4 linked regions of the Arabidopsis thaliana genome follow. The protein of the gene in region 3 interacts with the protein of the main gene of each other region in a pairwise test. Each region holds a gene or a part of one and is shown on either strand. Other genes may lie near its edges. The genes, in order: CIPK9, CIPK5, CBL1 and SIP1.

What was found.
Region 1: the proteins of CBL1 (region 3) and CIPK9 interact in a two-hybrid assay, tested with the Arabidopsis thaliana proteins (3 studies listed by BioGRID).
Region 2: the proteins of CBL1 (region 3) and CIPK5 interact in binary tests that used the Arabidopsis thaliana proteins (3 or more experiments, as listed by UniProt).
Region 4: the proteins of CBL1 (region 3) and SIP1 interact in binary tests that used the Arabidopsis thaliana proteins (3 or more experiments, as listed by UniProt).

The regions. Positions count from the first base shown.
Region 1 is NC_003070.9:62,257-70,743, reverse strand, and holds CIPK9 (CBL-interacting protein kinase 9), read left to right. Parts: upstream 1-3,118; 5' UTR 3,119-3,231; coding exon 3,232-3,420; intron 3,421-3,846; coding exon 3,847-3,909; intron 3,910-3,994; coding exon 3,995-4,066; intron 4,067-4,186; coding exon 4,187-4,294; intron 4,295-4,401; coding exon 4,402-4,482; intron 4,483-4,583; coding exon 4,584-4,637; intron 4,638-4,879; coding exon 4,880-5,005; coding exon of another isoform or gene 5,006-5,011; intron 5,012-5,091; coding exon 5,092-5,181; intron 5,182-5,287; coding exon 5,288-5,413; intron 5,414-5,526; coding exon 5,527-5,634; intron 5,635-5,726; coding exon 5,727-5,843; intron 5,844-5,936; coding exon 5,937-5,993; intron 5,994-6,087; coding exon 6,088-6,174; intron 6,175-6,268; coding exon 6,269-6,346; 3' UTR 6,347-6,577; downstream 6,578-8,487. Other genes in the region: AT1G01150 (Homeodomain-like protein with RING/FYVE/PHD-type zinc finger domain-containing protein), read left to right, coding at 459-629; AT1G01130 (CBL-interacting Serine/Threonine-kinase), read left to right, coding at 6,933-7,187. UniProt on the Arabidopsis thaliana protein: CIPK serine-threonine protein kinases interact with CBL proteins. Binding of a CBL protein to the regulatory NAF domain of CIPK protein lead to the activation of the kinase in a calcium-dependent manner. Involved in K(+) homeostasis under low-K(+) stress.
Region 2 is NC_003076.8:3,442,701-3,449,826, forward strand, and holds CIPK5 (CBL-interacting protein kinase 5), read right to left. Parts: upstream 4,579-7,126; 5' UTR 4,207-4,578; coding exon 2,869-4,206; 3' UTR 2,329-2,868; downstream 1-2,328. Other genes in the region: AT5G10920 (L-Aspartase-like family protein), read left to right, coding at 135-283, 395-851, 938-1,192; ASG2 (transducin family protein / WD-40 repeat family protein), read right to left, coding at 6,190-6,271, 6,379-6,506, 6,600-6,670, 6,767-6,862, 6,995-7,085. UniProt on the Arabidopsis thaliana protein: CIPK serine-threonine protein kinases interact with CBL proteins. Binding of a CBL protein to the regulatory NAF domain of CIPK protein lead to the activation of the kinase in a calcium-dependent manner.
Region 3 is NC_003075.7:9,813,576-9,821,661, reverse strand, and holds CBL1 (calcineurin B-like protein 1), read right to left. Parts: upstream 5,309-8,086; 5' UTR 5,052-5,308; exon of another isoform or gene 4,916-5,051; intron 4,676-4,915; exon of another isoform or gene 4,644-4,675; 5' UTR 4,521-4,643; coding exon 4,442-4,520; intron 4,028-4,441; coding exon 3,945-4,027; exon of another isoform or gene 3,682-3,944; coding exon of another isoform or gene 3,646-3,681; coding exon 3,586-3,645; intron 3,482-3,585; coding exon 3,373-3,481; intron 3,283-3,372; coding exon 3,230-3,282; intron 3,110-3,229; coding exon 3,029-3,109; intron 2,933-3,028; coding exon 2,639-2,932; 3' UTR 2,309-2,638; downstream 1-2,308. Other genes in the region: AT4G17616 (Pentatricopeptide repeat (PPR) superfamily protein), read right to left, coding at 30-2,054; AT4G17610 (tRNA/rRNA methyltransferase (SpoU) family protein), read left to right, coding at 6,752-6,907, 6,993-7,086, 7,174-7,280, 7,383-7,858, 7,946-8,086. UniProt on the Arabidopsis thaliana protein: Acts as a calcium sensor involved in the signaling pathway during growth and development and in response to abiotic stresses. May function as a positive regulator of salt and drought responses and as a negative regulator of cold response.
Region 4 is NC_003076.8:23,595,367-23,602,968, forward strand, and holds SIP1 (SOS3-interacting protein 1), read right to left. Parts: upstream 3,988-7,602; 5' UTR 3,687-3,987; intron 3,369-3,686; 5' UTR 3,166-3,368; coding exon 1,726-3,165; 3' UTR 1,596-1,725; downstream 1-1,595. Other genes in the region: AT5G58370 (P-loop containing nucleoside triphosphate hydrolases superfamily protein), read left to right, coding at 57-92, 196-279; AT5G58375 (Methyltransferase-related protein), read left to right, coding at 1,003-1,158, 1,238-1,339; AT5G58390 (Peroxidase superfamily protein), read right to left, coding at 4,389-4,949, 5,391-5,582, 5,681-5,878. UniProt on the Arabidopsis thaliana protein: CIPK serine-threonine protein kinases interact with CBL proteins. Binding of a CBL protein to the regulatory NAF domain of CIPK protein lead to the activation of the kinase in a calcium-dependent manner.

The sequences.
Region 1 (8,487 bases), on a different chromosome or scaffold from region 3:
ATTGGCAGTATAGTAGTGTGACGACTTTGATGTTAGTCCTTCCTTGTAATCGCAGTTTCGGATTCCTCCGTGTAGATCTTTTGGTAACAGTAGTCCTTATAGATGATGTTCGCTTTGTATCCCTTATGTTGATATTAAGAGAAGATAACGTGTCTTTTGTAGTAGCCGTCCCACTCTGTTAGTCTTTTGTTTTGTACCCTTCTTTAAACAAAACAGAGGATTGAGAAAAAGAGAATCATATGGGAATTATGGATATAATTTTGAAGAACTTAAAAATAGGTTAATCTTTTAAGACTATGGGGAGATAACTTGTCGCACAAGTACCAAATGTTTCGGAAACAAAGGTGAAAAAATCTACAAACTTAACAATAAAACCACAAGTCTTCCATTTGTACGGAGGTTAATAATAATTAATACCAAATAAACGACAACACTTGAAGTAGTCAAAACTTTTATAGAATTATCTTGATTTGGTTGAGGTCGAGATTGACATCATCATCGTCGTCGCAGAGATCGGAGATCAAAATGGAGAGGGAAAGAAACGCAGGAGTGATGAAGAAGATGAGTCCAACAGGAACCATCCAAAGATTAGAATTTGTGGGATGGTATTTGTAAAGCCAATAACTTAGAAACAATCCTCCACATATATTCACAATCATCGAATACAAGAACACCATTGACGACGTACTCTTCTTCTCCTTCCTTGTCCTCTTCTTCATATTCGTGTTCATGCTGCTTTCGTGGTTCATTTGCAAGAGGATCTAAACAAGTTATGATTCGCCTTTTTATTAATTAATTTACTGGGAGTTAGGTGAAGTGAAAGAAAAGATGGATGACAATAATAGATTCTATATTGTTAGAGTGTATGAGTAAGTAAGTATATATGCAGTCGGGTTCCGGTTCGTGTAGGTCGGTTTAGAAAGTATATTTCAATTAAACTCGGTTTTTAGTCGTTTTTCTAACGAAATGTGTTTGGTTTTTAGAGATTATTTATGAGCAAAACTGAGTTTGTGTTTGGGTTTTAGATAGGGTACCTAAAACTCGATTAAACATTTAGACCAGTTTCCAGCTGGTCCGACTCCGATTTAGGTTGGTCAATGTATGAAAGGCAAATCTAAACATAAGACACATTTTATGTTATGTATTACTAAATTACTACAAAAAAAACTCCTACAACTCCAAAATACACAATGGTTTAGATTTAGATATACATGTTTTTAGAACTAAAATTATTGAGGTATTTTATAATAGTACTCCAAGTTATAATTTCTGTTACGAGGCGAGAATAAACGTGGGAGAGGAAGGAAAAAAAGGTGCCGTGCGGTGCAACTAGATTTTACATATTTGTACACATATTTCACGATTGAATCTTTCAAGACATTATATGCTTTATCAAATTTTATATATATAACAATTAGATAAGAAACACAATCTGACCCGACTCTACTATTTATAATTATACGTATGAATCTCTAACTTCGTTACTAAAACGGCAAATACTAAACCCTGAAAGGAAACTGTGTGAGAAACAGTTAGGCCCCTTGACCATCTTTGTTCAACGTTGTCAACGAAAAAAAAATGGAACCATAAAGGATAATTAATTGTATCACAAAAAGACAAACACAAATTATTGAATATACCATCACTTATCAGTATATAATTTTATACAAATGCTTTAAATAACAAATATTATGTAGAAAAAGAGAAAAGAAACTTAACTTGGTCAATTTGATCATTTGTGTAAACGATGATGCGGAACATATGCGATAATAATGTTATTGGATGGCAAAAAAAAAAAAAAGTATTTTAGTTGGGCCCTAATGTTAATTCACAATCAAGCCTAAATTTGGTTAATGGGCCAATCTTTCTTATATATGTAGGACTCGGATGTTCGGTCTACTCGAACTATCTACAAACCAAGCTAAACCGAAAGTAAATACAAAATCAAACCAAATAATAGTTTGGTTTATATAGGTTTTAAATTTTAATCCATATAATCCAATAAGTTCCAACTCATAACCAGGAAAATAAAAAAAATGTGGAATGAAGAAGTTCAAATTGATAACCAAATGAATTGCTTTCATATGATGGTGACGTGATGTTTTTGTACCGGACTCAATTATTGGAACGAGTGGTTCATTGTGCATTATTTGCATTTTCTTTTGTTCGTAATATACTAACATATCTAAAAAATTATTGTATCATTATTACTAGTCATGCAATAAATCATCAACTCACACTGTCTGCCACACTTTTTTAATTTTTCTGCGTATTTTGGCATTATCATATGAAAGAAAATAAGAGAAACAAATAAAGGAAAGAAGAAAAATAAAAACATTATCACATTCTGTGAAATCTCTGAGTTTATCAGGAAGGATATGTGGGGTTCATATTCATACCGTTCCCTTTACTCACATCGTCACATGGAAAGATCAACTATTTCAATTATCTATTTATTTATTATCATATACTTTAAATAATCAAATTTAGAACCGTTACAAACAAAAATAAACAGCTACATCAAATTTAAACAAAAGTAAGTATATGCGAATATTATCATAGATTTAAACAAAATTTGACCAAGATATAACAATCATCATTTAACTACCAACATTTGATATATGTATTTATTGTTCTTAGGTAGTTTCCAACTTCTAACTAAAGACAAAAAAAAAAGTTATATTTAGAGAATATTTCTACATGAAAAGAATACAACTATATCAAATAATATGATAACAGTCAACTTTGAACATCAGTAGAATGGAATGAATCACTGAAAGATATACTCATATACACATAAAGATTAAGGACATCAAATCACATCCCTTACAAATAAAACCATATCCACATAAATTTAAAACCCCAAAATTTTCATAAAATCCATATACTTAAACAGGAGTTTCTGTATATAGTTACCACACAAGAACAAAATTATGGAATTTTTTTATATGAATGAAGAATGAACGTTACGAACGTACACAAGTACAAATAACACGGGACTGACGCGGAACAGAGCAAAATAATGATTTTTGACATTACGTGGCATACGGGACCCACAATACGCGCGTGACTCCCAGTCGCGCCTATTAAATCTCTCGCTCGTCCACTTTCTCTCGTCAGCCTTAAAACCAGGCAGCCACTAGAAGAAGGAGAGATATTGAGGGAGAAGAATCACATTGATAGATTCGCCGCCGATCTAGAGCCGTTGATTTTCTTAATCGGAAAAAGAAAATGAGTGGAAGCAGAAGGAAGGCGACGCCGGCGAGTAGGACGCGAGTAGGGAATTACGAGATGGGACGAACTCTCGGAGAAGGAAGCTTCGCTAAGGTGAAATACGCCAAGAACACCGTCACCGGAGATCAAGCCGCTATCAAAATCCTCGACCGAGAAAAGGTCTTCCGTCACAAAATGGTCGAACAGGTTCGTTAATTGTGTTTGGTTTGATCACGTAAAATGATTATGGATTTGTTTGTTTTTAAGTACTATAAAGAACAGTTTAATTTCGTGATTAGGGACCCACATGTCCTCCTAGGTTGGTGTTCGGTTATTAAGGTTAATGTTTGATTAAAGTGTTAACAATAATATTTTAAAATATCGAATTTTGTATGAATGTTTTTGTTTCTGTATATATCTACACGATGCTGATCTTAGTACGCATTGATCAAGATAACTATTAACTATGATATGGATATGGTTTTGAAGTTCGAGTAGCTTTGTTTTTGATTTGGTTCGATTTGAATCTGTTGAAGATTTAGTTTTGTATGCTATATATGTATGATTGGAAGTTATGAGCAAGATCTCGAAGATATAATGATCATAAAGTTTTATTTTTTTGTTGTTGTGCAGCTTAAAAGAGAAATATCTACAATGAAACTGATTAAACATCCAAATGTGGTTGAAATCATTGAGGTACGAAACTAATTAGTTATCATTCCTTAGATATTTTTTAAATTAAGTTTTGAATCTTAGCGTGTAAAACATCTCTCTGTGGTAGGTTATGGCGAGCAAAACGAAGATCTATATCGTTCTTGAGCTTGTCAATGGAGGTGAACTCTTTGATAAAATCGTAAGTAACCTAACTTAGAGAATCTTCCTCTCTTTTCTCTTCACAAATATTGACATATGTTCTCTGTCTTTCTCTCTTCTTACTCTTATGTTAATTCTTGGATTTAAATCATATACATAGGCGCAACAAGGGAGGCTTAAGGAGGATGAAGCTCGGAGATATTTTCAGCAGCTCATCAATGCTGTGGATTACTGCCACAGTCGAGGTGTCTACCACAGAGATCTCAAGGTCTTTCTTTTGTTTTTGTGCACTCTTCTTGTTTCCTGTGATTACGATATTCATTCTTCTTAGTTCTTATTCAAGTTTCTTTTGTTATCATCTGTTCCTTGTTGCAGCCTGAAAATCTGATCCTTGACGCAAATGGGGTTTTGAAAGTCTCTGATTTTGGGTTAAGCGCCTTCTCACGACAAGTTCGGGTAATGCCATTATATTTTTCACTTGGCAATTAATTTCTGATATATATAACCAAGATATCAATTTGAATGAAGTGTTCTAAGCATTGTTCTTTTGAATGCAGGAAGATGGTTTGCTTCATACAGCTTGTGGAACGCCAAACTACGTTGCCCCTGAGGTATTATGTACTAACTTTCAGCACTTAAAAAGGCAAAGAATATGAAATGTTCTGTAGATCCTCTTTGGAAAATAAGATTTTAAGGAATTCAAGAACTGCTAATACGTTTTTAAAAAGGAAGGAAATCTAACAAATGCTATACGTATATATAGACTTCATTTGCAGAATCTTCTTTATTTATGATGTATATAAGAGATATGCCTTTAATGTTGTCTACTGCATTGTGTTGGATTTGCTGGCAGGTTTTGTCGGACAAAGGCTATGACGGTGCAGCAGCAGATGTCTGGTCTTGTGGTGTCATTCTCTTTGTGCTTATGGCTGGTTACTTGCCTTTTGATGAGCCGAATCTCATGACATTATACAAACGTGTACGTGTAAATTATCTCTCCCTCTGCTTCTTGATCTTCTGCAGTACTTTTCTAGTCTCATCTTTGGTGTTTAATATATACTTTAGATATGCAAGGCTGAGTTTAGCTGCCCACCATGGTTCTCGCAAGGTGCCAAGAGAGTCATCAAGCGTATTCTCGAACCCAACCCTATTACCGTAAGTGCCTCTTACATGAAGTAATAGTTGTGAAAATGTGAACATGACATGCTGCCAACCATAGATTGTGCAAGAGCTTAAGTATGTACTTATTTCTGAAATGCAGAGAATAAGTATTGCAGAGTTGCTCGAAGATGAATGGTTCAAGAAAGGGTACAAGCCGCCATCATTTGACCAAGATGACGAGGACATAACCATAGATGATGTTGATGCTGCTTTTAGTAACTCCAAGGTAAACACCGCCATTTCCAAATTCTCCATCTGGTTGTGTATATCATAGTTCGGTTTAAGTAAACCAATGTATTGTTACCAACTAATATCACTCTTTTTGTGCTGCTACTCTAGGAATGTCTTGTAACTGAGAAGAAGGAGAAACCTGTATCCATGAACGCTTTCGAACTTATCTCTAGCTCAAGCGAGTTCAGTCTTGAAAACTTGTTCGAGAAGCAAGCGGTAAGAACTTTTTTCTACTTACAGTTTGTCTTGATTTTCTAAAATCATGCATAGGTTTTATCTAACTAAATCTGATTTGTTGTTGTTTGCAGCAACTTGTGAAGAAAGAAACGCGGTTTACTTCTCAACGATCTGCGAGTGAAATAATGTCGAAAATGGAAGAAACCGCAAAGCCATTAGGCTTTAATGTCCGTAAAGACAACTACAAGGTCTGTTCTTCTTCTTCTTCTTCTTCTTGATTTTGTTTGTGTCAACTAATGTCTTTGTAGCTTCGTTAAACATTGTTTAAGTAAACTTCGCAGATAAAAATGAAAGGAGACAAAAGTGGTCGTAAAGGTCAGCTCTCCGTAGCTACAGAGGTAAGAAAGAAAAAAATACTCCGGTTCAGTTCGGTTTTTGGATTTTGATGAATATCGTTATCTAATTGTTATGGTTTGGTAATCGGTTTAATAGGTGTTTGAAGTGGCGCCATCATTGCATGTGGTAGAGCTTAGGAAAACCGGTGGTGATACCCTCGAGTTTCACAAGGTATGTGATTCGGTTTGATCTTCATCAAAAACCGGTTCGGTTTTGATCCGGTTAACATCTCTAGTTTAGTGTTTAAATTGGTTTTATGTTTGAATCTCTTTTGCAGTTCTACAAAAACTTCTCATCTGGATTAAAGGATGTAGTCTGGAATACTGATGCAGCCGCTGAAGAACAAAAGCAATAAGAAATAACAAGTTGTTCAATTCAAAGTTTTTAATCAATGTTGAACATGTATAATGAATAGTAAACATTCTGGAGTTGGCAATATACAAGTATTGCTGACAAAAGAGCCAAACTAGAACTAGAAGTGGTCTATAGAGGTAGATCACCATAGGTTAGTCAATAGCCACATATGTGATCATCCTCAAACTCGGTTTGAAACCTATAAATCAAAGTTCAAACAATTCAATTAGGCAAAAAATACTCTGCAAGCTGGCTATTTGAGTATAGTTGAAAGTTGCAACGATGTTGTCGCTTTATGGCAACGCGTTACAATGACACAACATATATAACAATTTGGAAAACACAATGATAGAATTATTAAAGAGAGGTTATCTTAGCTACATAGATCTACGTTTGCAACCAAAAAAAAAAAGTTTTATTTTGATGTACAGTCACACATTGATGACGGAGTGGTTTCTAGTGAGGAGTTGGTGTTGAGCAGACCAACGTTAATTGCCCAATAAGTTGTGTGAGTTGTCTAATCTTTCAAATCAAACAGCCCGTAAAGCCCATAAAGTCGCAAATTTCGCATTCCAAAGTTTTTAAGAATGGAGAAACGTTCAGATTCAGAGAGTGTAGAGATTTTGGGTGATTGGGATTCACCTCCTCCGGAAGAAAGAATCGTAATGGTTTCTGTTCCCACTTCACCAGAATCTGATTACGCGAGATCGAATCAACCGAAAGAGATCGAATCTAGGGTTTCAGACAAGGAAACAGCGTCGGCATCCGGAGAAGTGGCTGCGAGGAGGGTGTTGCCGCCGTGGATGGATCCGTCGTATGAATGGGGTGGTGGCAAATGGAAAGTAGACGGAAGAAAGAACAAGAACAAGAAAGAGAAAGAGAAAGAGAAAGAAGAGATTATTCCTTTTAAAGAAATAATTGAAGCTCTCCTTGGAAACTCCGGTGACAAGGTTCAACAAGACAACAAGGTTAATCAAAGTCAGAGCTCTGTTGAGATGTTGAAATCAATGGGCTTTAAGTTTCCTTAATTTGTGGTAATCTTTTGGGGCTTTTCTTGGTTTTAGTTTTTTTGTTTTGTTGTTGCAGAAAGTAGTAGACTAGTAGTAGGTATGCTTTTTCCTCATTATTGAAATTCTGTTTTAATCTGATAATGAAACTAAGAAATCCAAGATTTGCAAGATAAACTTTTGAACGTGAATATATGTCACTAGTGTTTTGGCCAACTCACGGCTTAAATCTCTGAGTAAGATTCTTCGGAGAGAAAAAAAAAAAAAGAATTTTGTAGGTTTAGTGTGAGATATTGTTGGATACAGTAAAAGCTATTGACGTTAGTTTTCGTTTAAGCTGTTTTTTTTTTGTTATGACTTATGATACAACTACAAATTTGAGTCCATACTAGTGTTATATGATAGCGTGTTTTGTTAATATCCTCGATAAAAATGTTATCTGAAAATACAATGTGAGAACGGAACCATTCTTCTTAGAATTATTTCTAAATTTAAGCAAAATAAAGTAATACAGTATTTCTGAAATGCAGAGTATAAGTATTGCAGAGTTACTAGAAGATGAATGGCTTCAATATCAGTAAACACATGTTGTGTTTCTACACTTTCTCTCTATCTCTGTCTTTGTTTCACTCTGTTTTGTTTTTGTTTAGAGACAAACACAAGAACTCGTTTTTACTCTTTAATAAAAGACTACATTCATGATATTGATGATTTCTTACAACACAACACATACATGTACTACTTCTCCTAGTTCTAGGCACTCTTACACAACCCTCCTACTTGTATTGGAACTCTAACAACAACTACTCTAACCTAGACTTGACTTACTTAAACAACACTTTACTTATATGGGACTAACATAGCAATTAGCCCAATTACTTATTACAAGACAACAAGCCCAATATCTTCTTTGACTTGCTCTTCTCATCTTTGCTATGATCTTCTTCTCACTGAAACTTTTCTTCTTATAGAAATTTAATCAAGGATTCATGATTTCAACAAGACAACTACAAGGTTTGTTCTTCTTCTTCTTCTTCTTCTTCTTGATTTCTCTGTGTCAATTAATGTTGTTGTGTCTTTGTTAAACATTGTTTAAGTAAATTTCGCAGACAAAAGTGGTCGTAACTCGTAAAGG
Region 2 (7,126 bases), on a different chromosome or scaffold from region 3:
GCACTCTAATTTGCTTTATGAGGTTCATCTTTTAGATACTATGTCCTCCTTTTCCTGCCTCAGAACATTGTAGGGTTCTTACATTTACTTAGGATTTTACTTTCTTAGCTGGTATTTTGGTTCATGTATGGCAGCTCGAACGTGATGCTGGTCGTTATGTGGACTGTCGAGCAAGGCTAAATTTCTCCCCCCTGGGAGCTTGTGCTTTGGCTGGAACTGGTCTGCCTATTGATAGGTTTATGACTGCAAATGCTCTTGGATTTACCGAACCAATGAGAAACAGGTATGTTCCTAGTTCTTATATTGGTTGCATCAACTCTCTCTAATTATATGTCTTTCTCTTTTGTTTTATGGTTTCTCATTTATTAACTCTTTTCTCCTCTGTTTCAACTAGTATCGATGCAGTCTCAGACCGAGACTTCGTGCTGGAGTTCTTATATACAAATGCCAACACCGGTATTCATTTATCACGGCTTGGAGAAGAGTGGGTACTGTGGGCTTCCGAGGAGTTTGGGTTCATGACTCCAAGTGATTCTGTGTCAACCGGAAGTAGTATAATGCCACAGAAGAAAAATCCAGACCCAATGGAACTTGTCAGAGGAAAATCCGCAAGAGTCATAGGCGATCTGGTCACTGTCTTAACACTGTGCAAAGGACTTCCCCTTGCTTACAACAGAGATTTTCAAGAAGACAAAGAGCCGATGTTCGATAGTACCAAGACAATAATGGGAATGATCGATGTATCTGCAGAATTTGCTCAGAATGTTACATTCAACGAAGACAGAATCAAGAAAAGTCTTCCCGCAGGACATCTTGATGCGACTACTCTCGCTGATTATCTTGTGAAGAAGGTAATGTGGTTTTTATTTATCATATCTTCCATTTTTGTAACTGAAGTCAGAAAGATAAATACTGTTTTGGTTTTTTGATTTCCCAGGGGATGCCTTTTAGGTCATCTCATGACATAGTTGGAAAACTAGTTGGAGTTTGCGTCTCAAAAGGCTGTGAACTTCAGAACTTAAGTCTTGAAGAGATGAAAAAGCTGAGCCCTGTGTTTGAAGAAGATGTGTTTGGATTTTTGGGGGTTGAAAATTCAGTCAATAAGTTCAGTTCCTATGGGTCAACAGGATCAAACTGTGTTGCTGAGCAACTTGGCTACTGGGTCAACAAGCTCAACATTACTTCCACCTGATCCGGACCAAACCATTAGCAAAAGATTTGATGACGTTTGTGTAATTTTCATATTTATTGAGGATTTTTGTCGTTAATACCAGGAAGATTTCAAGCAACATGTTGCAGCGGTTTGAGAAGACCCACAAACAAAATAAGTTTTGTAATATTTGAAATCGAGATAATGTGGAAGAGTTTGGTATTCTTCTCATTTCAATGCTCTCTACAATATCAATCTTTTTATATTCTACAATGAGAAGAAGATTAACTCCAAACTTGTGGATATTTGCCCAAAGCTTAAGAAGTTGGATCAAGGGAAGTGCATTGGAGTTAGGTTGTGATTTGAACATGTCTTTAAATTTCAAGAATACTTTGTCAATGCAGACTTCAATTTTCATTTGAGTTTTTTGAATTTTTGTTTTCTTCTTTTTCAAACCCAATTATTGTTCAGAAATACAACAACAAAAACTAGTGGATTGCATTTGGATGTGATTTTTTTTGAACATGGGGGAGGACCACACATGACATGACACACCCTCTTCCTTAGGAGGTGCAACATCTGTTACAACTTACAATATCCTTTTTATGTTCCAAACAAAATGTCATCCTCCATTTTATTATGACCAAACATAAAGTGACACAAATACGTACCAGTAATAACCTCATTGGTGTTTCTCTTCTCCTAAAATAGTTAAATCTAATCTTAACAAAAAACACTCGATTTAATACTATCCATTTGATGTTGGTGGAGTCACTTTCTGACTGTGACACAACCCTTGTCCTAAAATCCCATGTTAGCCACTGATTGATCCTTTTTTTAGATTATTGGTCGGATATTAATTATGGTGAAAGCTCCATTTCTTTCTTAATGGATTGAGTTTACTGGTGAACCTCATTACTCTTGTTATCTTTTAATCCTTGTTTTTGTCTGTATCCATTTTAACTTTTTGGGGGATTTTTCTTTCACTTAGTATAACTTATACGCCATTAATTCTTACAGGATTGGGTTTCTTCGAAACTTCTTGCATGATGTAGTCGATATTTTTTGTTCTTTAGGTTATTACATTATTATGCTTCTAAAAAAATTACAAAATATGATAGTAAACATATGGTATGAAATGGGTAATTTTGATAGACTGAATACACATAAACATACTCATTTATGCAGAAAATTCAGATTAGCATTATCTTCATCCCATCAATCACATCTAATCTTCTATCTTACGATCATGCCCAGCTACAATTCAAAGTTGGACATGTAGAAGAAAACTAATGAAAAAAAGTCGTCGGATCCCATAAATAAATTAATTTGTTGTGACTTTGTCCTCTCCACTAACTATTTGAACTTCAAAATTCAAATGATTTGACTTCATAACAGAAGGTGAATCTTTTCGAAGTCTCTGAGAAACCACACGTGTCGGTCTTCTAAACCACAACCCGACTCATAGTCATTTTCGTTTTCGACTTAACATACCCTTAATTGTCGATTAATTTAATCTGAACCCAAATTATTTATTCATTTGTACCTAAAAACAACACAATTAGGTTCAATTAGAAGCAAAATCAAAATCCTTACCAAAGAAAAAGAAGTAAAACCAAAATTTTATTAAACCAAAGAAAATTTGGGTTCAATGTAACAGTTCTTAGTTATACTACGTTAACCGATAACCGGTTAAATCAGAACCAAAAACTACTGATTCAACAATCCTCGGAAGAAGTGTTATTATTATCACCGTGCCATGACCAGACGATGTCGTTTAACGCCGGCCGTACTTCTTCTTCGTATAACCTATCGTACTCCAAAGTATCTCCCGCCGATTTGCAAAACTCCACCACCGATATCTCCGGCGCTACTTCAAACACTTCCGCCGTCATCGACAACCGTCCTTTTCTCCCTTCCGTTTTCCCTTCCATCTTCACTTTAAAATCCTTCGTTCTCTTCACTTTCATGTTCATCTCCTTCGTAACCGTTTCTATCTTCTCCATTACCTCCGTCGCCGACGACCGTGACGTAAACACCGATTGCACTTTCCTCTTGCTCTCGAACAAGCTCGATAAGTCAAATCCGGAAGACATCGAGGATATGAATTCGAAAGCGTTGAAGAATTTCGGCGATATCGGCTCTGTTTGATTTTCACAATCTCCGTCTTCTTCTTCTTCTTCGTTGTTTTTGCTGCTTTGAGAACAAATCGGTTCGTCGATTTTGAAAGCTAACGGCGGAGTGAAGTTTTTCCGGAGCCAAGGCGTTCTCATAATCGCCGGAATCGAGATCCGTCGATCTGGATCTACAACGAGGAGTTTCGAAATCAACCTCCTCGCTTCCGGAGAAAACCACGGCGGAAATTCAAAATCCGCTCTGAAAATCTTCCGATACATATTCATCAGATTCTCATCTTGAAACGGCAAACATCCGGCGAGAAGAACATACAAAACGACGCCGCACGACCAGATATCAGCTTTCGCGCCGTCGTATCCTTTCTTCTTTAATACCTCCGGCGCAACATACGCCGGAGTTCCACACTGCGTATGAAGCAATCCGTCTTGAAGAATCTGTTCCGGTAACGCAGATAATCCGAAATCGGAGATTTTCAAATCTCCATTCTCATCTAAAAGAAGATTCTCAGGTTTCAGATCGCGATGAGAAACGCCTCTACTATGGCAATAATCAACGGCTGAGATCAATTGCTGGAAATATCTACGAGCAGCGTCTTCGTGTAACTTACCTTTAGAGATTTTGCAGAAAAGCTCGCCGCCTTTAACGAACTCCATGACGAAGAAGATCTTGGTCTTCGTAGCCATGACTTCTTTCAATTCAACTATGTTGGGATGACGAACGAGCTTCATGATTGAAATCTCGCGTTTGATTTGTTCCATCATTCCAGGTCTCTTCATTACTTGATCCTTGTTGATGACTTTGATTGCGACGCACTCGCCGCCGATGATCTCTTTGCCGTAATAGACTTTGGCGAAGGTTCCTTTGCCTAATAACCTTCCCATCTCGTACTTTCCGAACAGAACTCGCCGTTCTTCCTCCATTTGATATTTACACCGACTAGGGAAAATGAAATAGTGGAAGAAGAAGATGAAGAAGGAGGATTAAGAAAAGGTGGTGTTGAAGCATGAAGTTTGATTAGTATTTTGAGTACATGAGGATATATTACTCTCATAGGTGAAGAAGTAGAGCAATTCCATGGAATATGGGAGAGGAAGAGAAATGAGGAAGAAGAAGAAGAAGTGTGCAAATGAATCACAAACGCAGCTACGTGGTGTCCTCTTATTATATACTGAACACTCTTTGAATTTATAGACAAGGTGATAAGCCACTCACAAAGTCACACATGTCACACTGCAATAACTTTACTTTTTCTTTGGAATTTGTTTTTTATATGGAAAATAAGTTTTTTTTACAAAAAAAAAAAAAAAAAAAAAATGGTCATCATTTAAAACATATTGTTTGCAGTTAAAAAAATTATGGGTACTAGATTTTGTTTTTGTTTTGTTATAGTGTTGTACATAAAGAATTTTGTATAACCTTCTATATTTCTACACACGGCATATTGTTTGCTAGATTTTATTCTTAAGAACAACATTCAGAACAATGTCTCTTGTGTTTTTTCCTTTCTTAATTTGTTAATTACTTGGACAAAACTAGATGCTAACAATTATTTCTAAGACTTTGGGGGTCATATGTATGTTTTTTTTTTTTTTAATATTCTCTATTACCTTATAATGTTAAATCATTTTTGTATAACGTAACACTTAAAATTTTCTATTATTTTACAATACACCAATTTCTAGAAGAAAATAAAACAGTGTCAAAATAATAATCAACGTCAAAGGAAATAGGCAATTTAAATAGGTAAATATAACACAGTATGTGTAAATAACATAACCTAAACTTTAGATTATGTTATCATCAAATAAGATTATGCTGTTTGAATGCTATGATTTTCTATAATTCTATTAAATTTTACTTTTTCACGAATAAATATCGTCGGAGAAAAAGGAATAGGTAATCAATTATTGACAGAACTTCCTTAAAATAATGTCAATAATTCTCTCCAACGGTCTAATGCTTTTTGTCCCCCTTATCTTATGTGGTGGTTCCACCCAACCTTTCGTATAAAAAATTTAAATTATTTTAAAATCATTTCATAAACTAGCATACAAATCAAGTTTCTGGTGAGTAGACCATGAAAATTCTAATTAACATATCCATTTTTTTTTAAAAACAAAAATTCAAAATCATTTACAATATTAATTTGTTTCTAAATCATATAGCTCAATTCCATTTTTATCATCAAAAGATAAAAGATTATTAGCCAAAACTTAATGCACGGCTAGCTAATCGTTATTTAGGGATGTCATGTCACTATCTTCAAAGTAGGGAGATCTATTGTGTTCCACCAAGGAATGTTTTAGGATCTAGTCTACTGATCAGGAATTAGACTACTTTACTAACCATTAATAACACCATAAAAATATAACTAATAATTGTATACAAAAAAACACGTATGCGGGATTAGTCCAAATAGAAGCATACCTTGTCCAAATACATACTAAAGTCAGGGGCAGACCCACGTTATGGCTTGTGGAGGCAAGTGCCCCCAGCAGCAATATATAAATAGGTAAAAAAGTTTACACTAGACAAGATTAATTAAAGCAGCAAAGTGGTTAGAGCTTCCTCCACAAGTCTATATTAAAATAACGAGATTGGACACATAACACATACAGCCTTATGCTGTCTACTAAACGCGACAGAAATGAAAAAACAATGTAAAATAACGATGAATATTCACATTCAAAAGAAGAAGCCAATATCAAACTGTACAACAACAACAACAACAACAAAAAAAGCTTTTAGAAGGAAGCTATGCATGAGTTTTACAGAGAGAAAGCTTTTGCTACATATGAAACCTAATCAAACCTTATTATTCATTATTCATATTCAAAACCATTGTTATTCCACCATCACCTTCACAAAGCAAGCTTATTATACCTCTACAGTTCCCTCCTGCTTTAGCTCTGAGTACATTCAAATGGGTGAAAGTTTCCTTCTGCAAATTCTTGCATCCTAAACCTTTGCATTAGCTCCACAGACCTGCAAATGAATCATCAATGTACCAAATCATCAAACCCATTTTGTGTACTCTGAAACCGCCTTGGAGCTTTTATATTAACTCAAACCACCTATCCCAGAAAACTTACAGAGGATTCTCTCGATTGCGGCTTAGCTTCTGTTGATTACTCTCCATTACTTCCACTACATTGGCGGTTGCTGGTCCAGCTGATCCTCCTGCTACAATTGATGGGACTGATGCGGTTGGGCTCCATATCTGTACACATATTTTTACATGCAAATGTTAGTTTTAGAGATCTTACACGAAATGAAAACCAAACCCTGAAGACAGCTTTGTGTGCCTGCTTACCTTTATTGTGTTATCAATTCCACTCGTTGCTACAACACTATCAAACGGATGGCATTGAATGCAGTTCAAAACTAGAGACGAAAGATGATTCTTTTAGCCAACTCGAAATTCAATGAAAAAAAAAGATACTTATGTAATGGATAAAATGTGAAAGGAAAAAAGATCACCTGATTCATCGCCAACGAGCACTTTCATAAGCCTTCCAGTCTGTTTCTCCCATATAAACCACCGACCGTCATCGCTTCCACTTGCAATATATTCACCTGAAATTTGGTAATAAAATGTTCACAGAAAGTCGATACCGTATTGAATTTCAAATTTTATAAACCGCTTTTTCTACTAGAATGGAAAATTGCACTCAGATAACATGAAAGTTGCAACCCCAAGAAACTTACCTCTCTGACCAAGAAAACTGGCCTGCTTAATATCAGTTCCTACGTTACAGTGGCCAACATATCTACGTTTCATATCAATGGCTCCCTCTGGCTATAATCACCAAAAAACCATTGGTGTAAAAGGTATCCATC
Region 3 (8,086 bases):
ACAGGGGATACGTAAATAAAGTCATACACTCATACTATACCAACTAGTTTCCTGAAGGTTTTGACATGCTCAAGCCTCTGAGCTTGAGCCTCTGTTACAGCATCTGATGCTTTCAAGGTTCTGTATAGATTCTTATGAAGCTTAAGATACTCATTCTTATACATGGTTAGATCATTATACATATCATTCTCCTTCATATAACTGATAAGCTCCATTACTCTCTCAAAATACCCGCCTCTGAGAAAGTTCACCACAAGCTTCTCTAACAGATCTTGTGTTGTCTTTAAGTTTTTGCTTGCAATGTTCCTCTTGATATCTCCCCACACGATTGTGATCTCCCGGTACATGCCAAGAGATGAGTACATGTCGATCAAGATCCAAAAGCTTTGGACAGTTGGTGGGATTTTCATCTTGGGGATTTTCCGGTAGGTTATTAAGGCATCTCCTTGCATTTTAGCTTTGCAGAAGTAGTAGAGGGACGAGTTTAGCTCATAGAGCATACTTGGAGCTTTCATTTGTTTTCCTGCATTGATTTCCTGAACCAAGAGATCCCTGAGCTCTGTGTTTTCACTGTCTTTCTCTTCAGTTTCTGGTGAAACCACAATTTCATTTGATGGATCTGTAATTAGGCCGGCTTTCGTCATTTGTTTCAGAAGAACTTCTGCATTCCTCAACATCTTGCTCTTGTAATAACCTGACAAGACCATCCTATATGTGGCCAATTCCATGGGATAGCCAGCAGAATTCATGTCGTCAAGAATATCATGAGCAGCTTCTAACCAACCAATAGCAACACAAGCATCAATGACATCAGCACATAACCTGGATCCACCCAGCGAAAACAAAAGCTTTGATAGCTCAGGGAGATTATCATGTCTCTTGTACCCATATACTAACTTGGCAAGAGTCTTGTTTGTGATACCAAGCTTGGAATTGGAATAATTAACAAATGTTGCTTCAGTATCCACTCCGAGAGATGAATCTCTCTGCAAAAGCTTGGGTGAAATATGGATCTTTAACCCAGATCTGATATGGTGTGACCCAACAGGCAAAACCCGAGGCTTTTCAGAATCAAATCCAAGATTCTCAACTGAAACCAAGACCTTACTCTTGCACATATCTAAGGCAAGCCGACCCGCAGAACCGATATCATCAAATTTGAACTCCAGGCTTAACAAATTATCAAAAAAATGCTGATAGTGACCAAGAAGTTGAGGGGGTACCTGACCAATATGCTCCTTGAACTTCCTCAACTCATCCCGCATACCATTCATTTCATAAATACAAGACATGATCACAATCGAGTACGCATCCGCAACGACATCAACTTTTGCCATTAGCTCGATAAGTTCTTGGCCTTTGAGAGAGAAACCAAATCTCACACAAGAACCAAGTACAAGATTAAACAAGACCGTATCAGGCTTCACAACATTCCCGGGGCTGCTATTTCTTTTCCCCACATTGAACTCCACAAAACGATCACAAACCTGAACCAAATAATTCGAAGCTAAGCAAGTCCCAATCTCTGTTTTCACCATATGCATCACAACAAGCCTCAATACATCTGAGGTTAGAACATATCCCTTCTCCAGCATTATTCGAAGGATACTACAAGCAGATTCAACCATCTGAGCTCTCGCTAGAGACAACGACAACTTTGTTAACACATCGCCACTTAACATACCTGGATTTTGCTTCAAAGCCAAACGAGTAAGATCACTAGCCTTACAAAGCCAACCAGCATCAGACGAGTAAGACAACACAGTAACAAATCTGTTCATGATTACACTCTCTGGAAATCCATAGAGGCGTTTGAAATCTTTAAACACGTCCCAAGCATCATCTACACGGTGATCTTTAAGAGCTGTTTCTAGCTTCTTCTTGAGAATTACTTGAGAAGAAACTTCCCAGTTTAATCTAGCAGGTTTAACACTAGTACAGAACAGAGACGGCTTTGAGGTGCGACTACACAAGACCCATGAAATTAGGGTTTCTACGTTACCGCTATCGAATCGACGAAATGATTCTAGAACTAAGTTCCGTTTCCTAAACATTAGTCTAGAATTTCGATTCCAAATCTAGAATTTAACAAAGAAAGCACAACAATGACGAGAACATGATAACAACATACGAATTCTCCAATCGAGAAAGAACCCTAAATTGCTGGAAACTTCGAAATCGAGAGAGAAGAGAGGAACACTGTAACAAGAGAAGAGTGGCAAGACTGTAAATTTCATCGGGTCGGGTCCTAGGACATTCGTACTTTCGCTTTTGCGGTTAAGGACCCAACAAAATCTCAAATTCACGTTTTTGCAGTATAAGATTCCATTGGAACAATTAGAACCCCGAGTAAACGTAACAAATCTTTACTTTTTTACTTGAAAAAAAACAATTACAACAAACGTATGATGTAATATGTACAAACTCATTAACATTTCCTAACTATATGAAGTGAAGGATTGGTGATTACGCGCTTCTTCTTTTTTTTTTTTTGTAAGCTAAAAACCCAAAATTTTAAACTGTTGTGAGAAGAAAAAAGTAACCCAAACAATTTCAAGAGAATATGCTCTACTACTGTTTACAAACAGATGTTGATTACACCGATTAGCTCAGACTTGTTCTTCCAACTCGTGGCAATCTACTCGGTCTTAAACCAGTTTGTTTCTTCATGTGGCAATCTCATCGACCTCCGAATGGAAGACAAAACTCGGAAACGTTGTCGTAATATCCCTGCATTGTTTATGTACAAGTTAATATGACATTTCATTTGGCATTTTTCAGTTTTCTTTGGTTTCCATAAAAGGCAATTTGTAATATACCTGAGATATGGAAGAGTCATGATCTTAAGCAATGATGGATTTTTGTTTACGAAATCACTCCACTCTAATTTATCAATTTTTCCATCTTGATTCACGTCTGCATCTTCAAATGTCTGTTCATATATGAGAAGGACGAAGGAAACCACATTAAGAACATCATCTCTAAATGTATACCATCTAGAAAAATAAAGCCTTAGACAACAACAAACCTTATCGAGTATTATCTCTATGGTTTCATCAGCCAGTTTCATTTCAGATTCGCAGAGAAGCGCGATCAACATTTGCTTGACCTGCAAATATATCACATTCATTAACGATTTCTTGCAAAGTTATTAAGTAAAAGATGAATACTCAAGAACATGGCAAAGATCTATCATGACTAGTATTCAAAGCTTGCAAGTTAGTATTACCTCTTGTCGTTCAATGTAACCCGTGCAGTCCATGTCGTAAAGCCTAAACGTAACTGAGAAAAAATGGCAGACCAGAATCAATAAATCTCTTCACAAAAGCTTCAATAAACACCTATATATGAAACTATCTTATGTCAACTTACAATCTATTTTGTCTTCTAGAGAAGCATTGGGGTGGAAAACATTGAGTGATCTTACAAAGTCCCCGAAATCGATGACTCCTTTTCGTTTAACATCAAACATATCAAATATCTGCGGAAAAGCAATATTGTTTAGGATAATGGACATATTATCTTGGTTTAGATCACTCTTCCAGAAGATGAATCTTGTAAAAGCCTGAAGAATTAAGATTTTACCCTATTAGCAAATATATTCTCCCTCTTCCGGCTTTTGAACAAAGCAAGTTGAAACTCCTCCTGCATACATGTGAAGCCAGGATTAAAAAACAACATAAACAAGGTGGGCCATGAAGGCTTCAAAATTCAAAATCAAAGCAATCAATAAAATAAGTTAAGTTCAAGTCAAACATTAAGGGCTACGATACATTGAATCGATGCAATATGGAACAGACATATCGTCATGGAAGAATAATTATTGCTCAAATAAAGTCAACTAAGTTGAAAAATACTGTAGATGAATAGCGTAAAGAACAAAAAGATACAACGATGGGGTCATGAAAAGATCCAAATTGGGTCAAAAGAAACAAACTTTGTACCTTGTTAATCAGACCATCATCAACAACCGAACTGCTTATGCTCTTGAATAGCTCAAATAATGCTTCAACCTCACTCACACTAACTGGAAAAGAGAAAAAAACAAGCAACACTACGAGATCAAAACAAAGAATTACCAGGAACAAACAAACAAACAAACAAAGAGACTAATAATTCACATTTAGAATTTGCATGGAGAGAGAACTCGTCTTGACAAGTTAAGGAACAAGATTAAGGTGATGGTATTGGTAACAAGAAACATGAGATAGAGTGTTAACCAACTTTGAAGGATCATTACTAGAAATTGTTAGGCAGACAAAGACTCCAAAACACAAAACTAAAAAAATCCAAACCGGAGATAAACTAAATCAGTGAACAGAGAAAGAATGATTTGAATCTAACTGATGATTCTCATCTCATATCAGAAAACAAATGAACATGCAGCTTTGAGAGAAATGAATCTAGAGGAGGTTTAAACTTATAGCGCGAGTAAACTTACAAGCTGTCTCAGAGGCAAGCTTAACAGGGTCTTCGTGTCCTCGAAATTCTTTTGCTGCCTTTGAGTGGAAGCAGCCCATTTACAGATGAAATAAGACGATGAAACCTTATACCCGAGCCCCGGATAACGAAGAAAAGGCGGATAAAATCCAACAGCTAATTCAGCGATATCTGAGATTCTATAGCTTGATTGCTACTGTTTACTGCACAATCATCACAAACATATTTTCAAAATCTACACATATGGAAACAGAACACAAACAATGCCATTTCATTAGAAACAAATCATCTAAAAAAATCTTTGTGAAACGTAAAATTGAAAACAGTCTAGAAGAATCTCAACAACTTTGCTCAAATTTTTTTACCATGGAAGAAAAAAGTGTAAACCCTAGCAAAGTAGCATCAATGAAGAAAGAAAAAAAAAACACAAAGTTCTTCGAATCCATAAGATACGGAGATGGAATCAAAATTGTACCAGTAAAACACGATTCGAAACCAGACGATCAATGTAGAAACATCGAGAATTCCACAGGCCAAAAATCAAACTCAAAAAAACGAAATTCGATGGAAATAAAAGAAAAAGATTCTTAAAAATAAGAAGCAACACTCACCACCCAAGAGAAACGGTTCGCCGGCGAGATCCAGAGAGAGAGGAGCTAGAAACAGCAAAAAGAGAGAAAGAGAGAGGAGACGAAGAAGATTGGTGAACGGTGATGGCAAGATGGATGATCGGACGGTTGAGATCGATTATTTATTTTTCTTTTTCCTTTGGAATGAATTTTAGTAGCGCTTATATGATGGCATATTCGCACGTGTGAATCATAGTAAGCGCGTGTGAGACGAGTCAGTTTTGGAAGTTAATAGAATCGGCGTTTAGTTCAGTTTTTTCTGTCGTCATGTAATTTCAGTTAGACCGAACCTAATTGTACCTAATTCCATAGATTGATTTCTGTTATGTTCATTCTGTACTATTTATCTTCTGTCTTTTTTTCTTTTTACAACTTGATTGTTACGTAAGCATACACGATATTTTCTATGTTTCTGTATACTAAGAATGGGAAAAATATTTTTTGGACAAGAAATTCAAAATTTCTTTTGTTTCTTCTAATATCCATTCACTTCCGGAATAAATCAAAGATCCGTCCATTTTATTAGTCAAAATGGCACCTCTTAGGAATATTCTGAATATACGGAATTGGTAACCCTGTATTATAATAACTTTTTATATAGTTAGTTTATTAGATATTTGCGATGCTCCATAATTTGACTAATATGCAAAATGGAAACGCCAATAATAAAGTCTGGGAAACATTTGTCTTCGACTGATCGTGTTAGTGGTCACCATATCTTCTTTTGGTTTTGCTATCTAAAAAAACACAAGTTTTTTAATCCATTAACATTTTTTGTTTCTTTGGTAAAATAAATCCACTAACATATGTGATATTTACAGGGTGCCATTTTAAAACCATAACACTCTTGACAACTGGAAAAAGGCTCTAAACTGTAATTATCTGTTGAAATGGTTATTAACTAAATAAATCAGATCATGAAGCCAAATCTCTACAAGAATCAATTTAATTATAAAGTATTGTGTTTATGAATTAAATATGTCGTAGACCAGTCGGTGTGGAATTAGTACTTCGGTCTGCAATGTGGCAGGCAAACGTTGACATAATTAGGACCTTAATCACGACCAGACCACGTGTTTATCGTTCAAAACAATAATAATAGCGTATATATATTAAATTTCTTGATTATGATTAGTAGCTTTGATTCTCCTGCCGTTAACTCGATCAATTAGAGTTTTATATCATTTTGATATCTTTAAAGCGGGCTTAAATTGACTCTTTGGTCACCGGCCGTGTTGGGAACGCGTCCTCAAAATGTTTTGTTTAATTTGCGTATACTACGGTATTATAATTTTATAAATGCAACATAATAACATCCGGATCCGTGGCGCAATGGTAGCGCGTCTGACTCCAGATCAGAAGGTTGCGTGTTCGATTCACGTCGGGTTCAATCCCCCGAACAATTTCCGGTTTTTTTTTTTTTTTCTTCTCCTGAAGTCTATCCCATACGGCCCAATCATACTAAGTTAAGCCCAAGAAAGCCCTTATCAATAATTCTAATTTCCCCCCTAATTATACGACTAGGGTTTATCTGTCCTAAGCCATGAAAATTATTTGAAAGGGTTTAACAGAGAGATTCCTCGTAACACTTCCCTCTGTACTAATTTCAAATTCGTTTACGTTTCTTCATCTATTCTGGCTGCTTGCAGCCAATTTTTTTGAAGTTCGAAGCTTCAATTGAAATGGGTTCGTCAGTGATTACTTCATTGTCACTGAGCTTCAAGCAAGTTCCACCAGCAGCTATTCCTGCTTTCCTTGACTGTGTTTTAAGCTCCACAGGCGTATCTCCTTCAACTCTTTTCGAATCTCTCATTGAGCAATTCCCTTTTCGTTTAGAGGTATTGATTGATTGGTTTATTGTTTCACACTTCGGCAATTTGCTTCGGATTGTTCAATTTAAGATTTGAACATGTTTTTGAATAGGATACGGTAAATGGGGACAAGAGATTTGATTCTGATGATTGCAACCACATAGCTTCATTGGTGGCTGGGCTTTGTCATCTACTAAAGAATTTTGGTGAGTTACCAATTTTGAATTTTTAGATATGTATGATGTGTTAGTGATTACAGAATTGTTTAATTGATGGTTATGAGGTTGAAGCAGGCTTTGTTGCTGCGGATAATCATAATGCGTTGCAGCTATTTGTGTGGAGAGTGTTTATTCCATTGATGAAGATGGTTCGTGCATATGATTTGGATATGCTTAATAAGGTAGAAATTTCTGCTGTTGACTATAGTCCTTAGAGTTTTGATCTCCTTGAGATTGTTGATCATTTTGTTGTTTCTTTTGGTTTCTTTGTTTGATTGTACCAGATTGTAGAATCGTTCTTTGATGTAGTGATCGAGACTAATGTATTGGATATGTTGGGAGTGAGCTTGGTGCCATTTTTACTAAGATCAGTTGGTTTTTCGATGGGAATGCGTCAACACGAAGAATCAGATTTCATCAAATGGGGCGACCTCTGCCTCCGTGATTCTTTGAATACAATAGATATGGATGAAAACTACATTGCACAGTTGTCTGGATCATTTCCAATTCCATTGTCGTGCCATCTTCTGAATTTGATTCTGAATGCTGCTTTTCAAAGTCACCAAGCAGCTCCGAAGGTGGAAAGTTTTGCAGCTGGTATGCTTTGGGATTTGTGTAATACGACTGAGCGGCTTTTGTCACAAAGTGTAGAACATCGTTCTTGTGCTGTTAGTTTCCTCCTCCCTGCTATTTTCAAGGCATTCTCTTCTCAGTCATCCTTGAAGATCTCACACCAAGGAAATCTGTTCATACTTTCAAGGTGAGGTTAAGAACCAAAAATTTATGTGCTTTTTGGTTAGTTTTTTTCTTTGATCTCTTTAATGATTTTTAAAGCTGTAAACTCCAGGAATGGCTTCATAAAAAGAATTTGGGAATGCTGCAAGAAGCTGTTCTCGGTTGGATCAATAGAGAGAAGGGATGCTTACAGTGTTCTGTCTTTGTGTCTTTCTTCTGGCTCTTGGACTGACGGAACTGAAAGTTTTGTTTC
Region 4 (7,602 bases), on a different chromosome or scaffold from region 3:
ATATGTTGGTCATGTTCTTACTAATGTCAACAATTATTTTTCTTTAAAAAATGCAGAAGTTGAAGGCAAACAGATCAATTGTCCAGCCTCTGGTATGTATGAATATGATTCACCTAGTTTGTTGTTTACTTCCCTCTGTGGCTGCAGTAAAAGATGAAACCTAAGAAGCAAGTGGTTAACGTTAAATGATTGCAGATGATGGTGAGCTCAAGATCAGGAGCAGGTATAGGAAGTTTAAGAACTGCCCTTGCTAAAATTGCTAGGTTTGCAAAGTTTTAGGTTCTCAAAGCAATCCTCAAAACCAAGGTCAGGATTGTCTCTTACCCCTTTCCATAGTATGTAATAATGATCAATCAAGATTCAGATTCTTATAAAGAATTATTTGGCTCGTCTTTTCTTTATGGCAAAATAAAGGATAAGGAAGAAGTCAAAATGTTGAGATAAAGAAGAATGGTGTGACGATGATGATCCGACTAAGTTAGTGAAAACTGTCAACAATCACTTATGTTTTTGTTTGTTTATTATCTTTTTATTTGTCAAAGCCATCACTTGAGCAAATGAGCATAAAATGTTTTTCTCACGTTCTGACAGATTAGGTTTGCCCAAACCACTAACTTTTTTATTTTTTATTTTAGTCAACAAAAAATTATAGTAGGCCAAATTATTCTGTCAGAATATAATTTGTTAACCAGAAAGAAAGAAAAAAAAAAGTGAACTTCAAATATAAAATAGGACATATAAGGTTATTAGGTATATGAAATTGAAAATTCGAGGTGACTTTAGGGAATGGCCTACCTAATTTGACACTTCTTCAACAACTCCACCCTTTGAATTTTTCTCTTCTTTACCTTTTTTTTTTTTTTTTTTTTTTTGTTATTTACCCTTTTTTTTCCCTCCTCATCTCTCTCTCTTCTTCTTCATCAGCTCCTCTATCTCTCTCTTTCCTGATTGTCTTCATCAAAAACTGGAAAAAGCAAATCAAGAAAAGAGAAGAAGAAGCAGATGTGTCCGTTAAGGCTTATCCTCATATTCCTTTCAGCGACTCTCGCTGGCTTCTTCGTCCTCCAGAAGCTCAACTCTACCTCTGACGATCCTCTCGATGATTCCTTCACCGACGCTGAACACGCCGACGACGATTCAGTCTCTGGATTCTCCAAGGTTTCTTCTTTTTCCTCCGATCTTCATTCTCTCTCTGTAATTTGGGGATTAATGGGTTTTTCTGATTTTATGGGCTCAGGTGGGAATGGCAATGAAGTCTGGATTTTGGACATGCGTTGACATGGCAAGTGGTCGCTATCTCTGGAACAATCTCTGTTCAAATGCCAAACGCTCTTCTTGAGTTTTGTTACTCTCTATCTGTCTCTCTATTGTCTGTAACTGTTTAATTGAACTGCAATCGACGGCACCAAATTTACATATTGTCTCTGTACTATATACTATAGATCTTGTCTTCACTACTAAATCTCAATAAAGTCGAAGCCTTTATCCCAGTTTCAAAGAGAGTGGAGGATATGGCTTAGATTCTTGTTCTTCCTGTAATGCTGTAGAGTAAGCAATTGAAGTTCTCAATTCAAAAGTCTTGCCATTGAGAATTTCTTTAAACGACTTCTTTATATTATGATGGATTCCTTTTTTCCACAAATTAAAAATGTAAGAAACTCATATACGATTAACATCAGTGATTCAGTGTTAAGCAAAATTCCAAAAACTTGACAAGAACAAATTTCAAAACTTCAATGGTTCTTCCTGTTCTTGTTGTTCTTGTTGTTGTTGTTGTTGGTATTCTGTCTCTTGCTGTGAAGTAAGCTCATCTTTCTCACCCTGCCAAACCCATACAATATCTGACAGAGCAGGTCTAAGATCCTCTGCTACTAATTTCTGATACTCGAGAGTATCTCCATTTGATTTCTTCACTTCCACTAAATGAAAGTTTGGCGTCACTTGAAATATTTCTGCATCCATCGACAGAATCCCTTTTCTTCCTTCTTTTAATCGTTCCAATTTGAACAAACCTGCTTCTCGCTTTCTTATGCTCAGTTTCAATCGCTGTGCTACTTCCTCCAGCTTAGATATGATCACTGAAGCAGGTTTCTGTGATGTGAATCTAGATTCTCTCTTGTTATCATCTCCAAACAGTCCTGCCAGATCAAACCCAGCAGACAAGGCAATTAAATCAAAAGCGTTCAAATTTGTAGGTTCGTCTGTATGGTTTTCCTCCGTGACCCTGTCTCCGTTTTCACTTGGACCTGCTCCATTCTCACTTGGACCTGCTCCGTTCTCATTTGTACCTGCAGTACCAGCTTCCACAGAGTTTATCTCTTTGACTCGTTTCTCCATCTTTTTCTGTTTCATATGTAAACCTTTTCTGAACCAAGAACTCTCCCTGATTCTTGCGATGGTGATTCTAGTTTCAGGGTTAGGGTCTAGCATCTTACACAACAGCCTCCGTACTTCTGGAGCAAACCAGCTTGGTGCCTTAAAATCTGCTTTTCCTATCTTCCTGTACATCTCCATCAGATTGGAGTCATGGAAAGGTAGATAGCCTGCCAATAGGACAAACAAAACCACACCACAAGACCAAATATCTGCTTTTGTGCCATCATAGCCTTTTCGATTGATCACTTCTGGAGCAACATATGCAGGTGTACCACAAGTAGTGTGGAGGAGGCCATCTTGTCTCTTGCAGTCAGCAAGGGCGCTTAACCCGAAATCAGATACCTTGAGATTCTCATTATCATCTAGCAATAGGTTCTCCGGCTTTATGTCACGATGATACACCTCTCGGCTGTGGCAAAAATCAACTGCGTTGATAAGCTGATAAAAGTATTTCCAAGCAACATCATCTCTCAATTTCCCTTTGGCAACCTTGTTGAAAAGCTCTCCACCTTTACAATACTCCATAACAAAGTAGATCCTCGTTTTTGTTGCCATGACCTCATATAGCTCCACAACGTTAGGGTGTCTAGCAATCCTCATAACAGAGATCTCTCTCTTGATCTGTTCGATAAGCCCAACTTTCATAACCTTTTCCTTATCGATCATCTTGATAGCAACACTCTGGTTAGTAAGAATACTCCTTCCATAATACACCTTGGCAAAAGTACCTTGACCCAATAACCTCCCAACATCATATTTATCAGTCAAAACACTTGGCTTATTTTCCATCTAATCTACAAACTTATAACAGGCTCCAAAAAAAAAAAAACTACTTGATCCAGAGATAGCTCAGAGTTGGAGGTAGCTCATGAGTCATAACCTCATGAGCTCGTGCAGCTAATCCCCTAGTGATAGGAGGACACATCCTCCACCATTTCTGAGTTTCTATGCCGAATATGAATAAACCTCTTAGAAACTTGGTAGAATTGAGCCTGTCAAGTAAAAAAAAAAACAAAGCAATGAGATCTACTTCCAACAACAATCAGTGTATCGATCAAATCTAAACTCAATTATATGTATCGATCACGAGTCAAAACGCAATCATCAATCAAAACACACACACAAATTCTCAAACCACTAAAGCCCTAAACCAGAACCGATCATTCAGGTTATATAATTCTCCCCCATTACCGCATTACCTCTATATTAAAGAGAAAAAGCATAGATCGGCAATCAGAGAACCCTAAATTTCAACATGTAATCAACAATTCGCAAGGAGAAAACAAAACATATATGATCAAGACAATCACCGGTGAGGAAAGAGGATTCTGGGAATGAATCCGAGATCTAGTAGAAAGACGTGTAGATCTCTCTATCCGCCCCTAAAGGCCCCTTCTCTTCCTTATTTCTTTCTGGGTTTACCAACAAAAATGGAGGAGAAGACGGAAGAAGAAGAAGAAGAAGAGATGAAAACGAAGTTAAACGTCATTGGCGGTCCACGCACATCAAAAATAAAAATAATTTTTTAATTGAGGCAGAAGAGCAGAGGCCACTTGTTCCTCTGTGTCCTTGTCTACCTTATGACTTTTTACACTTGTCCTCTCATTCGCCTATTCACTTTTCATCCGACGGCTCACATTTTGCCATCATATATTTTTATGATAGTTTGCTCACCATTTTTTTTTTTAATGATATTTTATCTACTAATATTTGAAAAATCGTAGCATAGAGTTTATAACAAATCATCTACTCAACTAAATTTAAAAGTTTTATTTCTTTCAATCAGCCAAAGTAAGAAGAGAAAAAAAAAAAAAAAAAAATAAGAAGAGAATATAGACAGTAATTTATAATGGAAAACTGCATAGTCACAAACTTTTACGTGTTTATTGTTTTTTATATAATGAAGATGTATTTTAACAGTTGACGAAGAAGGGGAATGCACATGAAAAAACAGTTGACGAAGAGGTGATTATTGAGCTCAATGGGCTTGGGATAATATAAAAGAGAATCATTCAGTTGGGCCTCCGACAGTTTTGGCGGATCTGACCATTGGATCCGGTGAGGGGGCTGATGTCTCCCATCTTAATCATTGCCCTTGCAAAGTCGCGGTAGAAGGCATTGAGATTGTGGCTGTAAGCTATGACGAGCGAGTCGGTAGGACCATTATTAAAGAGGACTTGGTCTGACGTAAGCAAACCTTTTTTGCTCAGAAGTTGCTTGTAGAAGCCGTGGTCGAACCTATCGGGAGAGCGGACGTCAAGATTGGCTTTCTTGTTGTCTCCGGAGCCACTGGTGGCAGGACAGTTCCTCCGTTTAGAGATGGCGAAAGAGGTGTCGATATTGCTTGCGTTGTAGATTCGGTTTCTGAATGTAACACATTGGGCTCGTCCAATGGTGTGAGCACCAGAGAGGGCGACCATGTCACGTGTGGACAAACCTTGTGCTTTGAAACGGTTTATGAGGTTGCTAAGGGTAGTGATCGGAGGAGGGATGACTCCGGAGTTCGCGGCCGCGAAGTTCGCCGTCGTAGAGTCTCTTCTTCCAAGTTTCACGCTCCACCCCGGTCCACCTAGCTGTTTAGTCATATTAAGAAGTGTTAAACATTTAGATAAATGTTGGTCGGCTGAAGGGTTTGTAACAAAGGGAAAAACAAAAAACAAAAATTGGTCCGTGTTCATATGCTGTAAAATCGACCAAAATGTAAAAGTATCTTGTTAGGAATTCGTAAAGTAATGGTAGATTTATGCTATTTTGGCTAGATGTATGTGAGAATGATTTAGAAAATCAATGATTTACAAGAAAATCAGAAGGAAAAAGATGCAAGTTGCACTACAATTTTACCCTTCTTTTTAAGTTTTGAAAAGGGACAATTGATTAATTACTAGAAGATTCGAACTCTGGTTCTAGCTAGGTAAAATAAATGAATCCGAATCACTAAGCCACTTAACCATTCAACAATTATTACATGCATCTATGTAAGACATGACAAAGAGTAAAAGGGTAGAGGTGCTAACGAGGAGAACGGAGTCCCGAGCAGTGATGGCTAGAATGTCTGCGCATGAGACGATGCCCGGGCACATTTTCTCAACCTTAAACTTGATTTTGTCGATCACTTCGAACCCCCTCACAGAGTTATTGCTGGGTCCTGAGGTTTTCTCTCCCAAAAAAGACGGTGTGTCATCCAACAGTAAGGATCCGTCACACCCCTATCAAATCATATGCTTAGCATTTACTAAGTTTTAGGAGTAATTCATGGGAACATACAAAGCATGCTTCGTTTTTGCATTGAAAAAAAGTGCCTTACATTGACAAAACAATCATGGAAGAACAAACGAAGGAGAGAAGCACCCATGCGAGGCTCTCTGGCCACGGCCCGTTTCACGACTCGTCTCACGACAAGGAACAATGATGGACAGCTTTCCTTGTAAAAGTCACGGTTCAGCTGAGCCTCGGACTGTGACGCCAACATCATTATCATCATCAACAACACCACCTTTAACATACTTCTCTGCTTATCGTACTCCACTAATTCTCTTTGCTTCTTCTTTTTAAGACAAGATATAGCTATGAGTTATGAGTCGTTGAAGGACTCAGAGACTTGATGAGGGCTTTATAGAGAGGATAACTTACACGTAGGTTATTTTTGTTCACGTAGAAAAGTTTTTCTCGAATATCCACTATATTACTGGGTCCTTACTCCTTAATTACGCCACCTTTACCATATTCATGCATGTTTACATTTCCCTTTTTTCAGCACATTTCCCTTTTTTGTTTTCTACCAAGCATATCTTATTATACAAATTAAAACTCTAATGTTCATTATTCGTCGGGAGTATATACGTTTTAAGGTGAGCATACATTATTAAACTTGATATATCCATAACCATATCAAGATTTGCGATATACTATATAATAAACATATATAGTAATGTACATTATTATTTTAGTTTATGTTATAGATAGATGACAGTAATTATAATTCAAAGTTGTGATAATAAAATAACTAATCAATCCACACATTGGTTTTGATTTGAAAGCAAATGAATCTTTACATGATATTAAAGTAGTAGAATATGTGCCATCTAATTTGAATCCAAAGTGGTTCGATCTAAAGTTTTACATGCTAAATTTGAAGGGTTTCCTATCAAAACCTATTGCTGGTAAGTGGGTTTGATCCATATCCATTGATAAATTACCTTGGTCTCATTCTGTTTTCAGTGTAGGATTTCTAATATGTGTTCTCTTAAGGTGATGGATGGATCAAATTAATTTCGGATCAGATTAACTAGACCGGTTTTTGGGTAAAACCAAATTCATCATGAGCATGTGTTAAGGATATGATATATTGATAAGTTGATGAGACTAAGAATACGAAAGGACTTGTGGAATAATTGTATTGAACTCTTGTAAATATGAAGTTACAAAATGCATTCATTAGCTAGAAATATAACCAATATATTCAAAACTACCTACATCTACAATGTCTGCTAGGACTTTCTACAACGTTGATTGATATATCTCGGTTAGTGATTCTGCTCGATCAATCTCGGTTTTCCATCTGGCAACAGTTTTGTTTGATACAATAATTGTGGACATAGAGGATCTGATTGAAAGAATGTGAGGGCAGATAGGTCATATCACTGGGGGAGCGGGGAATAAGTTTGGCAGAAGCAGCTGACCTTCCAAGTTCCATGCATGCAACCACGACATTCCCAGCCCTTGATCACCTTTCATTATTTATATCATATAATTAATAGTTACATAAAAAAGTATCAAGGATTAATTTGTTCAAAACTAAAATTCTATTTGACAACTACTTCACTTCACTCCAGAACATGTATTGTTATTGTACTTGCCAACCCTAGAAAACAAAAACATGTCTAACACCGGCCGCCACTAAATTAACCGTTAGAGAATGGAAATAATATATAACCTACGCGATTTTTTTCGTTCAGACTCTAATTAATATAACTTATAAGTTTGATCCGTTTGTGGTTCCCACACCCACCGATAGAGAAAGAATTACTGATTATGGCGCAACAACTATATGACATGTTGTTTGAAAAGTTTATCAGATGAGAAACTAGGCCACTAAAAACGAATAATATCATCGTTGATCATATATACTCGTGACAAAATCAATTATCTACGTCCTACAACTCAAATTCAAGATAAACACCTCGAATTTTTTATTAAGTCACAGAGGAAAAACAGTGCGTTTGTCTT